Linked DNA regions of Rhinolophus ferrumequinum. The protein of the gene in region 1 interacts with the protein of each later gene in a pairwise test. Links are inferred from orthologs where the notes say so. Each region holds a gene or a part of one and is shown on either strand. Other genes may lie near its edges.

Evidence for each region.
Region 2: the proteins of SMARCE1 (region 1) and MEOX2 interact in binary tests that used the Homo sapiens proteins (3 or more experiments, as listed by UniProt). The two-hybrid records come from large-scale screens. The link is inferred for Rhinolophus ferrumequinum from reciprocal best matches to the Homo sapiens genes SMARCE1 and MEOX2.

What each region holds. Positions count from the first base shown.
Region 1 is NC_046304.1:36,993,342-37,001,223, reverse strand, and holds the start of SMARCE1 (SWI/SNF-related matrix-associated actin-dependent regulator of chromatin subfamily E member 1), read left to right. Parts: upstream 1-4,882; 5' UTR 4,883-5,311; intron 5,312-7,286; 5' UTR 7,287-7,331; coding exon 7,332-7,338; intron 7,339-7,513; coding exon 7,514-7,557; intron 7,558-7,882. UniProt on the Homo sapiens protein: Involved in transcriptional activation and repression of select genes by chromatin remodeling (alteration of DNA-nucleosome topology).
Region 2 is NC_046303.1:23,143,278-23,151,171, reverse strand, and holds the start of MEOX2 (homeobox protein MOX-2), read right to left. Parts: upstream 3,011-7,894; 5' UTR 2,731-3,010; coding exon 2,217-2,730; intron 1-2,216. UniProt on the Homo sapiens protein: Mesodermal transcription factor that plays a key role in somitogenesis and somitogenesis and limb muscle differentiation. Required during limb development for normal appendicular muscle formation and for the normal regulation of myogenic genes.

The sequences.
Region 1 (7,882 bases):
TAGTACAGCCTTTGCAGTAGCAATTTCTCTCTCTTTCTCTCCCCCACCACTTTATTTCTACTTTAAAAAGTATATTTTAACCAGAAGAAAATTATGCTAAATAATCTTTAACGTAATACAGGGATATAAAGTTAACTTTTTTTTTTTTTCAATCACTTCAGATTTCTTTTGGCCTGGCTTATTCTATTTAGTGAGAGGGATGATTTTGTTGTCAAGGATACAACAGCATGTTAAGTGCTTATTCTTGCATAAGCATCTTACCTAAAATACATCCTATACATAAAAATGTTTTCATTCAATACTAGTTAAATGTTGCTAACTTTATTAAAGCTTTGACAAAGGCAATCATACAAGCTATTGTAGTAAAGTTACTGTACTTAGCAACAGTAATCATAACAATGTAATATATCTTGGCGATATGCAGTGTTAACTTAGTACTGGCATCATGAATGTAACAGCTTATTATAGTAATTCCACTGTGCAGCTAGTGTATGTAACATGTACATTTTGAAATATAGTACTTGAATTTATAACAGTTTTATTTGCTTTGGGGCATTTTAAATTGGGATATGAATTTACCAGAGTAAATGATACCACCACAATAAAAAAAAAATTGTAACATGAACTCTAAAGCTGCATTGTATTTGAGTTTGATACACTGTTTTGAGTTAAATTGTTCCAATATGGTTAGTTCACATGGGGAATGTAACCACGGTGGAAAGACAATGTTTTTATACCTTTTCTAACAAAAGAAAAATTAAGAATGGTATATTCTAATAAATAATATATTCTAATAAAAAAATCAAAATAATCCCATCATCCTGGGAAAAGTATGACAGTAGCCACCATTTGCAGAGTGCTAACACAATTGTACTCAGCATACTTGTACATAATCACTAATCGTCATAACAATCCTACAAGATGCTCAATATTGTCATTTTATGGATGAATAGAAATTAATATTCTTCCATCTCTCTGGAAGAGTGAAAATGCATGCTTCTGTAACAAAATACAAAAATAAAGAGTAATTCCAATTACTAACAATTACAGGATCCCAGCCCCGGTTCTGTCACTAATTATCCATGGAACCAGGAAGGAATCATTGAAATTCCCTAGGCCTCAATTTTTATACTTGAAAACAAAGGGAAAGGTGGTGCTTGGTAATAATCTTACTCTGCCTACTTCGTAGAGTCGTTTGAAATAATACGTAAGTGAAAATATTTGGCAAAGCACTACTCAAATATACAGTACTATCTGAATAAGAATTATCATAGGGAGAGAAGAATTTGTGAGAACAATTATATATAATGCTGACAATGATTAAGTAATAGTTTAAAACACAACAGGTAATGAGAATATTTTAATTCTTCATTTGCTGCCAGAAGGGTTATTCTTTCCCAGTGAGTTACCCAATTTGAACAGTTCTACCATGATAGTTTTTAAAGTACAAAAATGTTCTCTAGAGTCAAAAAATGCTTAAATTAATTTGAAAGTTTCAAATGGAAATGTATTATGGTACATGGGTCAAAATTAAACTTTAGTTAAATATAAATAATATTCATACACGTTACTCAGATTACCAACATGTGAAATCAAAGGAAAGTTTGTGCACAGGGCAGAAATTGTTTCTGTGTTTACAAGTTATGGCCAGCATGTACACACAGATTGCCATATTCATGGGCATACTACAAATAAACATTTTGAAGTAACATATATGTGCAAATCGATACAAGCCTTTCCCCAGGTTCCCTTACACACGTAGACCCTAGACCCGGGTAGGCAAACTTTGGGCAGTACCATCCCTGTACCAACTATACTAGTTACAACTAATAAAAGCTGTACAACTAGGTACAACTAATAAAATTCCAAAAACAGAAGGCAGCTCGGCTCTGGCCTGCAGTTTGCCCACACCTGCCTGCCCTAGACCTTCAAATAAGGCGTGTGGGTGATAGATTATACCCCAGATTCTGCAGGACCATCCTGTTTCCAAACACTTTCATTCTTTTCCACACCACATGTCAAAGCCCACATCCTAGATCCTTAAGATATTTTTAAGGCAATGCAAAAGATTGTAAAAGCAAACCCTATTTTGTCCAATTCTAAAAAACACTGTGAATCACTCTGTCCTGGAAATCTGCTGGCCTTCAATATTTCACAACTATGTATAGCAATAGAAACTGAATACCCTGTTTTCATAGAAACAGCTGAGAAAATTAGCCTATTTCACCATTTTGCCTATAACCAAACTTTTGTAAGCTATTTGGCTCAGACAGAGCCAAATTTTAAGGGGGAAAAAATCCATTTAAATAAGCTTCATTGGAACATACTACAGACAAAATGCATGATTCAGTGGTTGGTTCAAAACCTTTCTCAACACACAGACCTCTTTGAGAATCTGTTCAATTACTATCTGGGGGAAAAAAGCATATAAAAAGTGTGCATAATTTTAAAAGTTCATAGATTTCGTAAAACCTATTCATGGACTGCAGGTTTTTCCTTGTTCTCTCCCATTTTTTCCTTTTTCTTTCTTCCTTCCTAGTCATGGTTCTCTACCTACCTCCAAGTCTGTCTCCCTCCCCAGCTTCTTCCCAGTCCTATAGAAAGAAATTGGAGACCTGGGCCTGAATCCCAGCTTAATCACTTACTAGTTTTGGCTTCCCTGTTTTGGGGGAAGAAGAACTTCAAGAAAGTATGAGTAGTGTCAGAAAGGAAAGGAGGCCGAGTTCCTGGACCTTGCTGCCAGAAACAAAACTAAACTACTTGGGCCTAAGACTATCTCTGGGGTTTACCACTAGGCCCCTGTGAGGGCTCCTAACAACCTTTATAGTTACAATAGTTTAAAGTCATATTAATGATGCATCCCATATTTTCCAGGATTAATCATGATTCCAAAAGTCTGTCTTGTGGTCCCCATAAATATTCCTGTACATGCAATATCGTATGTCCTGAGTTTGCTTTGGGGAAAAAAAAAAAAACCAAACCTCAGTGTAAGTAGAGTCTACCTAGGATTATTTCACTCTTAAGTCTAATTTCTTCAGGACTGGGGAAGAGATTTCTTTGTTTCTATTATATTTTGCCTATATTCTTCCTTTCTAAATTTTGCCAATCTTCAGGAGTGGAGAAAGGATCAAACGAAGAAAATGAGATAACCATTTATTCATTCCACAAATACTGAGCACTTGAATGTGCCATGTAGTGTTCCAGATGTCAAAAGTCGCCACCCTCAAGGAGCTTTCATTTTGATGGGGAAAAAAGACAAGAAAATAAATGCATAACGAATATAGCATGTTCGGTGGTGATTAGTGCTATACAAACTAACAAAGCACAGACCATGAACAGAGTGCAGGTTGAGGGAATGAACTGCAATTTTAAATAGGTCAGGAAAGACCTACTGAGGTGATATATGAGTAAAGATGAGGAGGTGAGAGAGTATATCAATGTCACTGCTCCACTCAGGTCTCCTCCTTTCCTTTTCCACCATTTTCGTGCCACCCGTTTCCCAGTGCAGTGTGCTTTGTTCCCAACATCCAACACCCGCAGCCCTTCTTCAGAGGATGCCTAGAGATGACACAACATAGCACCAAGCCTCGCAGGGCCCTTGCCCCATCCTTCCGCCATAACCCCAAAAGCAGGAAGAAACCAGCTGGAGTTGCTGGATGAGGCCAGAGAAAGGAGGTACTGGGGTCCCTGCTGAGGCCTTCCTGTATCTTACATTAATCCTTTACGTCTCTGATGCTTTTATATTAAAAAAGCAACTTCATGTACACAATCTCAAGCACCAGACTGCCTGTTTGTTATCCTTTGATGATCTCTTGCAATCTTTCCCTTCCACACTCTCTTTAACTAATTTCTATGTATGCCTATAAAAATATTGGAAGTGGAAGACTCAGACAGGGTTTCACTTGTCCCAGTCTTTACAAACTTCTAGAGATGCCCCGGTCATTGCTGGCACACCCCAGATGGTGGCAAAGGGCAGCCCAAGAATTCACTAAGTCACTCAAAATGTCAACACTGTTTTCAAATAATTACAGGTCAGGGAGCCCATCTGTTCCTTCTTCCTCCACAGTGGCCCACAGTGGCCAGGTGTTTATACATCCAAGGAAGGGGCTACTAATTGGCAAACCAACCTACTCATGATTTAGTAGAAAGAGCCCTGGACTAGACCAGAAAGCTGCCTCAATACACTTTTTATTGAGCATCTAACAATGGGTCAAGCCCTTAGCAGGCACTGGTAATAGCAAGATGACCAATGCAGATGGCTGTACTTTTGCTTTCAAGACACTCAGAATGCACGGGAGATGACAAACACACTCCGCTACCTACAGCGGATCAGGTACAGACTACAATAAATTGTAGAAGAATCATGATGGTGGAGAGAAAGGATTATAGGGGGTCGGGAGGGCAGGGGGGCATCACAACGAGGCCTATGAGCTGGATTCAGAAAGACAGATGAGTTTAAGCTGAAAGTGGGGGACAGTCTTTCCTGGCGGAGGGAACGGAATGAGCCAAGACAGCGTTGGACACAGACTAGTGGCACCGCGGGCGCTCCAAGGGCACCCAAGCTGGAGCAAGAGGATCAGCATCTCTGGGCTTTGGCTCAGAAACCCGAGGCAATTGCACCAGCCAGACTCGCATTTGGAAACACTGAAAAGCCCGTGTTGCTGTTCGCCGAGGCTAATGCCCGGCCGTTCAAGAAGGAAGCCCTACGAGAAGCCCGTGGGGACGGAAATTCCGCGAACCGAGCGCTCCGCGCCTCCATCCTCGGCTTGCTTAGGTATACGCTCCCGCTCACAGAGAAGGAGGAAAGAAAAAGACCGGAAAGCAAAACGCGTGGAGGCGGGCGCGGCCAGCGCGGACTCAGTGGTTCCGGGGCCTCGCTCCTGGGCGACTCCCGCAGTCTTCCGGCCCCGCGCGCGCGGAGCCGAGGCCGTGGCTCCCACCCACCCGGCGCAGCTCCGCACCTCCCGCCGCGTCGCCCGCTGCCGCTGCAGCTCCTCGCGGCCGCGGAAGCCAGGCCTCTCCGGCTGTCGGGCCCCCTCCGCCCTCTCCGCCGTGACGAATCGGCGTCCAGCTGGGAAAATACCCAAACTCGGCGTTTTAAGGAAAGCCTCAAAAAAATCTTTGACTGTACGAAGCATCAGCACGTCCTCAGTAGAAGGTTTATTTTTGTAAAGAAAGTCGGGTGGGGCCTGGACAGAAATTACGAAGAGTGTTGAAAGTGCGAGTGCGGAAGCTCGGGACGCGAGGGGCGGGGCGTGTGCGGGACAAAGGGAAGCGAGGCCGGAGCTGCCGGCGCTTTTTCTGCCCGCGGGTGAGTGTTTCCGACTGGGCGCCAGTGGATCTGGAGGGTGGCAAGTCGTGGTGTTCGGGCTTGGCTGGACTCCGAGTCCCCGGGGGTTGCTGGGGCTCAGGCTTGGCCGCGGGGCCAGAGCTGGGGGCCGGTTGCGGCCTCCCTGAGGCCTAGCGGAGCGAGGGTTGGGAGGGAGCCCCATCTGGGTTCCCTCCTCCGCGGCAAGATTTGCCCCTTCCATTAACCCCGCGAAATTGGTCAAAGCAGCTATGTATACCCCGCTTTAATGGAATTGCTGGTAACGTGCATCCTCCACAACAAATCTAAAGATCCTCAGGGAGCCCTCGGGACGAGCCAAGCCCGTGGTCCTCACCCCCCAGAATGTGGTTTCCCTTTGGTTCAGGCAGCAACCTGAGGACTCACGGTCCTAGAGTGGCGTAAAGAGCGAAAGCTCTGCAACGGTTTGGCCTCGGTTTGAAACCCAAACCTGTCTCTTCCTGGCTGTGTGTTTTTTTTGAGAAGTCATTTAAACTCGAGGAGACTCCCTCTTTTCATCTGTAAAATGGGAATAACAGTGCATATCTTGTTGATAGTTGTAATTATTAAACGAGATAGTGTAAGTAATTAGCCTGTCCCGTATAAAGTATCCAACAAATACTTATCTCGTATTTTATGCCAGGCACTGGGGACGGATCCAGTGGTAGACAAGCCTGCTCTTAGAATTTATGGTATAGCAAAGGAGAATAATAATTTTAAAGAATTAACAATGAGTGATGTACCAAGGAGCTTGTGGAGGTTACTGTCAGGGCAAGGCCTGCTGGATATTGACAGCTCCCTGAATGTGAGCAGGAAGGAAATCTGCACCAGAGCCAATGGTTTCTCCCTGTTCCTTAAGGAAAGAGGAAGAGACCCAGGTTAGGCTATTGAGAAAATAAACTACAGTGTTTCTTTCCACCGCAGGCCTCTTTTATTCTTTATGCTCCAGGGAATTCCCTGAAAATGCAAAATAGAAGCAAAATCGTGTTTGGGTCACGTAATGTTGGATGCAAGTACTCTGGTAGTCATGGAAGTTACTTGCCTTTTTTCTAAAAATGAATGTGTGTGCCTGTTCGCACTGTGGGATGTATATTGACAGCAGGAACAAGCTCACATATGTATGGTAATACTAGGACAAAATTTATTAAGAATTGAGCTAGGTACTGGGACTCCAATAATCAATTAGATGGTCCCTAATCCAGGCAGCACACAATCTAGCCATATTAACAGGTATTATGTGATATAATAATAGCAGAGATGTATATGAATTGAGCAGGAGTACAGATTAGGAAACAGTTCTGCCAAGGTAATTAATCAAGAAAGCGCCACTGAGGAGGTATGTTTTGAAATGGGATGTGAAGGGTTAATAGGAGTTTGTCAAGTAGATTCTCAGAATTTATTCCCAGCAATTATAAAGCTATTTACCACTGTAAGAAAATGTAAAGCCCATTAGCATACCGTTACATTACCTTTCGCACTGCCTGGAGGAGTAAAACACACTGCGCCATTTTTATAGTTGTTACTCTTAACGGAGGGGAGAGCAGCTACTCTACTGATCAGGGAGCTGTCAGTATCTGATAGGCCTTGTTGGGGTGGGCCCTGACGATACATCACATTCTATTGTCATTATATTTTTATCAGTCTGATTAATGTGTACATGGCATCCACAAAATGTTTTCCCATACAAGAGGTGGCTCAGTGGCATAAGAAACAACTTGCACGTACATGCCTAATACTACTTTTAATATCCCTATCGTAATTTGTTTTAGTAGTTTAATTCTGATCATCCAAATGAACTAAAGAACTAGTAAAATATGCAAAAGGCTTGGTTACTAGAAGATAATGTAATTTTACTAAGAAATACCAATTAAATTACCCTATTCTTTAGGAAAACATTCTCTTATGCTTGCTGAGTTTTGATTCTCTTTTTTTTTCTTTTTTTTCCTTTTTGTTGTTTTAGTGTCTCAGATTCATTCTTAAGGAACTGAGAACTTAATCTTCCAAAATGTCAAGTAAGTTTCATTTTTTATATTTATCAATCTATATTAATAAGAGACTAATGCCCTAGCAAATGGGAATTCCAAAATACTCTCATTTTTTTTCTTCAAAACAGGACCATTGGTAGTTTTGTTGCATAGTATTATATCTCAGTTGTTTACAAGAAGTTATTTATTTTCTTTCAAACAGAAAGACCATCTTATGCCCCACCTCCCACCCCAGCTCCTGCAACAGTAAGTTTTAATTTTCTTGTTAATGTAATAGCCAAGTCTGGCCTTGATACAAAAACCCAAATGTCTTCCAGGAACAGTCACTCAATCATCACAGCAACAGGATGAAAAATTCAGCTAAAAAACAGCACTTCCTACTAAATAAAATAACTCTTTGCATCTTACCTTGAACCAACCCCAACATTTAAAGAAACATACTACTGAAATGCCAACCTCCTATGCTCAGTTCTTTTTTTTAATAGGAAATAAGTAACAAGTTTTAACACTTCTTTCTTGTTGATCTCTATTAAGAGTCTTTAAAGTTGACACTGAATGAATGCTCATTCTG
Region 2 (7,894 bases), on another chromosome or scaffold:
CTAAAGATCCAACAAATATTAATTAACTCAAATAATGAAATTGCAAATTAAATTTTATTTTCATTAACTAGACATATTTTTACATTATATAGATTTTTAACTAGACACTATTGTGATATTTCCTTTTAGTTAGTCAAAATTTCTTTCAAAATATCTCATCAAAGAAAACACTCATTCTTCCTCCCCAGTGATTCTATCCTTGGTGATAACTAACCGTGTTTCCCACTTAAGATGTAATCTTAATATTTTATGTAGTTGACGCAAACTTTTGTGTTTGTTTATTTTTCCAGTACTCTAATTATTCATTGTTATATTAATTTGGTTATTTCCCACCAACGGAGAGCAAAACTATTGATATAACCAATGTTCTTAAGAAAGTTGTTATTAAAATAATTTAAGGGAAACAGTTCTTAGATCCCACTTTTTCTGTTTCCTCCCAACCAAAATAACACGTGTCTATATGAAAATTCAGTTTGCCCTAAGAAAGTTAGGTACAGTGGTGCAGTTCAGGAAGCAGAAGGAACAATCCATCACACAGATTTCTCATTGCAGAAAGTAAAATGAACAGTAAGAGCTTCTTGATAATTGCAAAAGTGCACTGACCAATCCGAACTCGGCTCTGTTTCCAAAAGCAGTTTTATTGCTATCAAATTTTGAGTCTATGAAAGGATCACTACATTCTAAAATTGACTTATTTTCTAATGAAGAAGGAAAATTGCTTGCTATGATTAACCTTTCAACTTTGTCTTAAGAGTTTTACTTATGGTTAGTAAAAACCATTAAATATGAGTGATACCGCTGGTAACTTTCTCAGATATAAGCTAATTTGCGAGTCAAGCATTAAAAGTTCACCTTTGACCTTGGCAAGTAAAAGTTAGATTTCCCATAACTAACGGTGAAGAACAATTGATAGCATTGCTGCAAAGGAACCTGAAATGTGCGGCTGAATCATTGTCATTTAACGAGGAATCGTACCTAAAGAATTATAAAGCATAAACATGTCGTCAATCCTTCAAACCAATATTTGGAATTACCTTCTAGGACTGTTAAACCAATTCCGCAAAGGTAGAAAAATATGTAAATACTATATTAAACAAATGACACCTTCCAAAAAGACGGAACTCAGGTTGCGCTATAGCTGCAGAAGAAAACTCGGAACCCCCTTAATTGTGAAGCATCTTTTAACAATTTCATAATGAGACACCTAGGTAAGGGCTTTTCGGAAGTAACCTGGAAAACTTTAGTTTCTCTGGATTGCTACAGTTTCCTTGGCGACTGTGCCTTCAAGCATCCGCGTTCAGCAAGGTTCCCCTTTTGCGTGGCTATTCAATTGATCCCCACGTAGATGAGCGCCTCCTGCGCGCACCCGTGAATACCAGCCTCAGAGATGCAGCGAACTTGCACTACTGGGGTTGCTGTTTGTTTCCCAGTACTTGTCTCCGATAATTCTCAATTGGAAGAGAATATCACTTTCCACCTTTGAAATTCAGATTCTCTCTTAAGACTAGTACCACACCAATGCAATTACTATTAAGACTCGTCTTTCTTCAAGAGTCTGAGCATGTATTTATTTACAATTCTCTGATACGTTCTTTAAAATCCTTTGAATTCCTACATTAGGTCTTCTTCCCCAAGAAAGGGAAATTTTTACCATTTGGAATAGGTACTATTTAAAGTACTCTGAAATCAGAAATAAAAAATAAATAAATAAATAAACTTTTTTTTTCTCATACTCTCTGCCAAGTTCCATTGCAAGTTCCAAATATTGTGCAATAATTTGGAAATCCGGTTAACGATGGGAAAAATCGAGCCACTCAGAGTCGGGAATTTGCAAGGGAAAAAGTCAAGGAGCGACACCCGCACGCACGCTCAGCGAACGCTGCATCCCAGGGTGCACTCCTCTCCCTATCGCTCAGAGGGAAAGTCACGCTTCTCAATCGATTTCACATACTGTCACTTGTCCTTTTTTTTTCTTTTCTCAATACTCTGGTAAACCACTTTGAACCTTGGAGAGGTTTCTGCTGTTGGCTACAGTGTTGCGCTCGGAGAAACACGTGTCCCCCAATAACAGGACCAAAGCAGCCTCACGGAATTTAGCGGCGGGAAGCCAGAAAGGGCAAGACCTGCGCCGTCTTTCCTGCTGCCTCACTATTGAGAGAGAATCTTCCTGGACATCTCTCCGCCCCTTTCGCCCAAGGTGCCCGTCGCGCCCTTACCTGAGCTATCGCTTTTCCTCTTGCCGCCACTTCTCTTCTCCGCCTCCGCGGGTGACAGCGCCTGGCGGCCGTAGTCCCCCGGCGCGCACGCGGCCCCGGTCGGGGTGCTGGAACCCAAGCTGGAAGAGTTGGAACACAGGACTGGCGGGCTGCTCCCCATCTCCGGGGGCCCTCCCGAGTCCGGCTGGAGGCAGAGACTGTGCCGAGCCGCGCTCGGGGGGGAGGACATCTGCGGGAGGTGCCAGTTGGTTTGCAGAGCTTGGTGCTGCTGCTGCTGGTGGTGGTGGTGATGGTGATGATGGTGGTGGTGGTGGCCCCTGTGATGTTGGCTGGCGAACATGCCCTCCTCGTTGGGGTATCCCGCGATTATGCAAGACGAGGAAGAAGTGGAGAGCTCGGGATAGGACATATGGTCAGATCTTCCATGGAGGGCGAGAGAGGACTGGGAGAACGGGTGCAAGCCTTGCGCGGTGGCGTGAGGGCTGCGCAGGCAGCCAAAGAGCGGGTGTTCCATAGCATGCAAGTCTCGGGTTCCAGGCAGAAGACTTCACGACGGTTCCAAACGCCACCACCTTCTGTCACTTTTCACTGGACACCGTGTGACTTTTCCCCCTCCCAGAGCAATAGCCGCCCGCGTTTCTGCAGAGCTCTGATAATCCCGGTCCTGAGCCCTAGTGGCCAGTCTCCTTTACATATAAACACTCTGACCTGAAGGAGCTTCCCTCTGAGCTACTCAGATGTCAAGAGTAGGAGAGGTTGAAGCCAAAAGAAGGTGGTCCCAGAGAACTGCTTTCAGGGGGAAACGGCTCTGAGAGGTTATAAATAGAGTGTAATGTGAGCTGGGGGCTGGCTTAGGAGCCCAGCGCTGACCACATGCAAACTCCCTCCAAAACTCCGGCTCAGTCTGAGAGCCACGCGCTCCCAGTTCCACTTCCTAACCCGCTGGACTCACTCAGCGAGTCCACGCCCGCCCGCCCCTGTCGGCCGCCAGGCGTGCAAGCGGCGCGCCGGGCGCCTGAACCCGAGCCGCGGGGCAGCGGCTCGCCTCCCCCGGCGCGGGCGGCAAAGGCGCGCGGCGGTGCACGCCAGCCACAGCCCCTCACCCGGTGCCCAGCGCGCTCGCTTCTCTCAGTAAAGGTGTCTTGTCAGTGCCACTTGGACACTGTCACCTGCGGGAAAGATAGGGTTACGCCTAGCTCTTGAGGAGCACGAAAGGGAGCTAGTTTGGCTTCGCGTTTCCTCATGTCCTGGGCGCAGTGGCGCGCCTAACTTTTTGCAGGTGGTGTTTGTGGGTGCGTTGATAATGGGTTCGGACACCAGATCCGAAGTTGCAGGGATGTGCCCGGCGGGCGGGAAATAGCCATTCTGAATGCGGAAAGGAGAGATCTATTGGCGGCGGGGATTGGGGGGTAGGTAGCACCGGGCAGGACAGCTGCAGATGTCCAGGCTCTGGCAGTGTCACCTGCGGTGCCAGGTGGGGTCTCTTCTCCCCTGCTTACCTCAAATGCCTTGTCCCCTGCTTTCCTGGTCCCGGTGAATTTCCTAGTCACGTGTCCACTAAGAACTGTCCCTGGGTCAGGAATATTCCAAAGCGACTTCGTCCCGGTCACATGAGATGTGTATATTGCACGCACATTTCCAATCTTTCCCCTTAGGAGCCAGCCCATGTCCCATCATATACCTCCAGAAATCCACCCTCTCCGGTCAAAAATAAATCAGCTGATAGCACCCCTTGCCCCTCTCCGGCTCTGGTCGTGGTTCCATTTACTGAGAAATATTACATTTTGATAGCCCCCGCCTCCCTTAAGTTCAGTAAATTGGGAATTTTATATCTACCTGGTTAATCTTGCATCATAGAAAATGAGTTAGAAAACTTGCCACCAATGAATTAGCGCGAGCGACAGCTGGACTTTGATTCTGCCACTTGAGAGGCGACATTGTCTGCTGGGGGCAGAGTCCTTTACACGAGGCAAGCAAGCCCCGGTAACGAGCTGCAGGAACAGTCGAGTCCTGCCTGGGACAGGTCGCATCAGGAGAATATCCGTGCTCACCTATCCCGCCCAAGACCCGGAATGTGAATGTGCCACCAGCAGCGTCGCCTCCTTATTTTCATTGTCTCTGGTGTCCCGAGGATGGGGAACAGGTCTTTGAAGTTGTTAATGGGGTTAATGGGGACAGCAAACTAGGCCGGCCATCTGTTTTGAATTAGGGCAAAAGTATTGATTAATCTTTGAGAAGTGTTCCCAAGGCAGGACCTTTTCCCTCGCCCAGTCCCTCAGGCTTTCAGTCTATCTCCCTTTTCTTTTAAGTCGTACAGCAGAATAGTGGCTTCGCAATAAACCTTTACATTCGTGTGAAAGTTCGAATTGTTTTCCATGGCTTAGAGGTGGGACAGGGAGGGGGTGATCAGGAATTCTGAGATTTGTAAGTGCTGCTTTCTTTAACGGAAATTGAGCCCTATTTTGAGGGAAATTAGTTTTGCAGACTTCGTTAAAAAAAAAAAAAAAAAAAAAGCTAAAACTTTTGTTCACCAGCTGCTCAGCTTTTCAGTCTGGGTCTGAGCTGGAACCTGCTGCAAGCATTTGACGGTAAGACTTTCTTTGCCGATATTTTGGGAATCTAATATTGTTTTAGACTTCGAAAGGGGGTGTTCTTCAGGTTGCACGTTTCTAAGGGTTTTAAGCACTCACAGGATGGCGTCCAGAGCTTAGATCTTAAGAATGTTTCTTCCTGCCACTCCCCATGCCCTTGGCTCTTTAAGGATAAAAAAGGAGGGGGTATATTCTTCTAATATTGTCGGAATATTTTTTGAATTTTCATTGTGTTTATGGTTTCAATATGTGCCCTGATATTAAAAGTTGAAGTACAAAGGGCAACACTAAACTTCCCAAACTCGGATGGCTCCTCCATGGATTCTGGGTGAAAGCATTAAAGGCTTTATCCAGAGAGAAATTTAGGCAACCACCTCCATAAACAGTAACCAGAAATATTTACATAATACAGTGCTGTCTACTAAAAGCATTGTGGAAAATGTCAGGCAAGACTAAAGATACACTTGATCTGCAGACATCAATAAAAAACACCCATAAAGGTCCTTTTGGTTTGCATTATAGTGGTTTAGAGAAAGCAAGCAATTGAGAAGTGAATGGATTTGAATTTACCCAGTGTGTTGCAGGTAACTAGCAACTAGCAAAAACACACAAACTTTTCATCTCCAGAAGCTGCCTCTTTTTCTTGAACCTGCCTGGTGACTTTGCTGGCTTTTTTCTCACTCACTGTGTCAGATGTTAACAACATGTCCAGAAATTTCTGTACAGCATGCCTTAGTCAGTCAGCCTCTGGAACTGTGGGGCTAGAAGTATGGGAGAGGAAAAAAAAAAGTAGAAAAGATTAGAAAGGGAAGAGTCTCTGTAAAAGGCACACATTAAAATAAAGCTAACAGGAATAGTCTTTCTAATTGAAGACCCAAAATATATAATATCAGTGAAATTATGGAGTCCATATTTCTAATAAAAAGCATAATATAAGGAAAATGTTATTTGGAAGAGAAAAAAATGTGATTCAAAGGAGAAAGGACTAAAAAAGAGTTCTTGATACACTCCAAAATTAATATGACTTTTTTTCCTCTGAATTTCCAAGTATATATTAATCACCTCATAAGTTTTTTTTCCCCCCAAATTTTCATTGCTTAGGATTATTGGAATACAATAAAACACTGATTTTATTTTCTATACCATAATTTTTTGAAAAATACAATAACAGGAAAAATCCCTAGCATTTCCTATAAAGCTACTTTAGGGTCCACATCAACAAAATCTGATGTTGAAAGTTGCTTTTTCACCTATATCATGAACAATGGTAAAAATCACAAAATTTATTATAGAATTTACATAGCATTAATTTTAAACTATATATAATATAGTATTGATCATATATGTAAAATATACTTGAATTTTCCTGAAAAATATTCTATTAATAACAGTATTTTATGCAAGGTTTGATATCAAGCAGCACATTATAACAAGAGGGTGAATATATGAAAAATGTAAGTTGCTCATCTTTTGTAAGAAACATAATCAAAATTACTTTAAACACATGCTCTTTAAATTTGATAAACACACATACCTATTATTTCTTCTGTTTGAATGAAGTGATATTCAATAATAATGCAAAGATATTTTTAATTAAAATTACTTGAAGTGTAATAGAGCTTAAGCAATGTGAAAACTTTGTTTAAATTTTATTTTCAGAATCATGATTCTTTTGAGTTGCCATTCTTCTGTTCATTTGACATGAGGTATGATGGTAATAAAATATTTAAAATTAAATATGATCATTAGCTACAGATATTATAAACTTTACTTTGCATTTTACCTGCTAAATTTGCCTAGGTAAAATACAGTCATAATATATAAATTTAAGTATGGAAAATTAAATTGAAGCTGGAATTTGTCTCTGAAGGTTTTGCTGAGGATAAAAATATTATTTCTGCTATATTTCTCGAAGAAATAACATGCCCTTGAACTGGTTTTTATGAAATAAAGAATTTTGAAAATATTAATAGATGCTAAATACCCAATAATTTATATGATTTATGATACACTCCTCTTTTTAAAACTAGGAAATTGCCTTTCTCCGTGAATTATGCATTATAAAATTTGAAGAACAATTTTGCTATGGCTAATGCAGGTTATTTAGTGATTCTATATACTGTTCTGATTTTTAAATAACACTTTTTACATAACACTAATTGTTTTCACAAAAAAATTGTTGTGTTTCTATATATACTACAAGAAATGAATACTTAAACATGACTTCTGAAAGTGTAAAATAATATCTAACATATTTTATTTTTATAATTCTATCTCTTCCTACTTTTAGATATATGATTTCTTTCAGAAGTTGGTGATTTTCTTCAATTCAGTTCAAGTGCCATGTAGGAAATAATTTTCAGAAAACTGGAATGAAATACAGATTATGACTGATTTAATTAAAAATTCAAAATACATGCATTTTTCCATAATTCCACTTGCTTTTCACATACATTTTATGAAATTCTAATTATGTGTGTGTAGGGGGAGTGTTAAAATTAGGAAGATGTTGACTACGTTTCAAATTTAAAAACTTCTGATTGAACTTCCTTTTGTTCACCTGTTTTGCCTCCAATTATTGAAGAAAATTTTCTTATATTGATGTACATGGGGAGTAATTACCTCCAATTCCTACATTTTCATTTGCACTCACTTTGTATGTTATTTTCATTAATAAATGTATGCATTGAAATTTTTTACAGTTGAAAATTGACTCCTTTGCATGCCTAACTATAAGATATACAGGTACACTAATGCAAGACAGTTCTATAATGAAATACTATGTTATGTTATATATTCTATACCATGAAACTCATTAGCACTAAGTTTCTGTCCATAATTTAAAGAAAATAAATCATTTATTGCTACCATGTCATAAAAAGAAATGCTATACTTTTAAGTGGATTGAATATATAACAAGTTCATACATTTCTGAGAACAAAAATTCTATCGAAACTAAAGACTGGAATTATAGGTAAAACCTTAGTCTTATGTTTTAAGTTTTCTAAATTGAAGACTTTAATATAACTAATGTAATTGTGGCACTCTGGAAGATTATTCTTACATGTTTTTATTTTTCATGCTTCA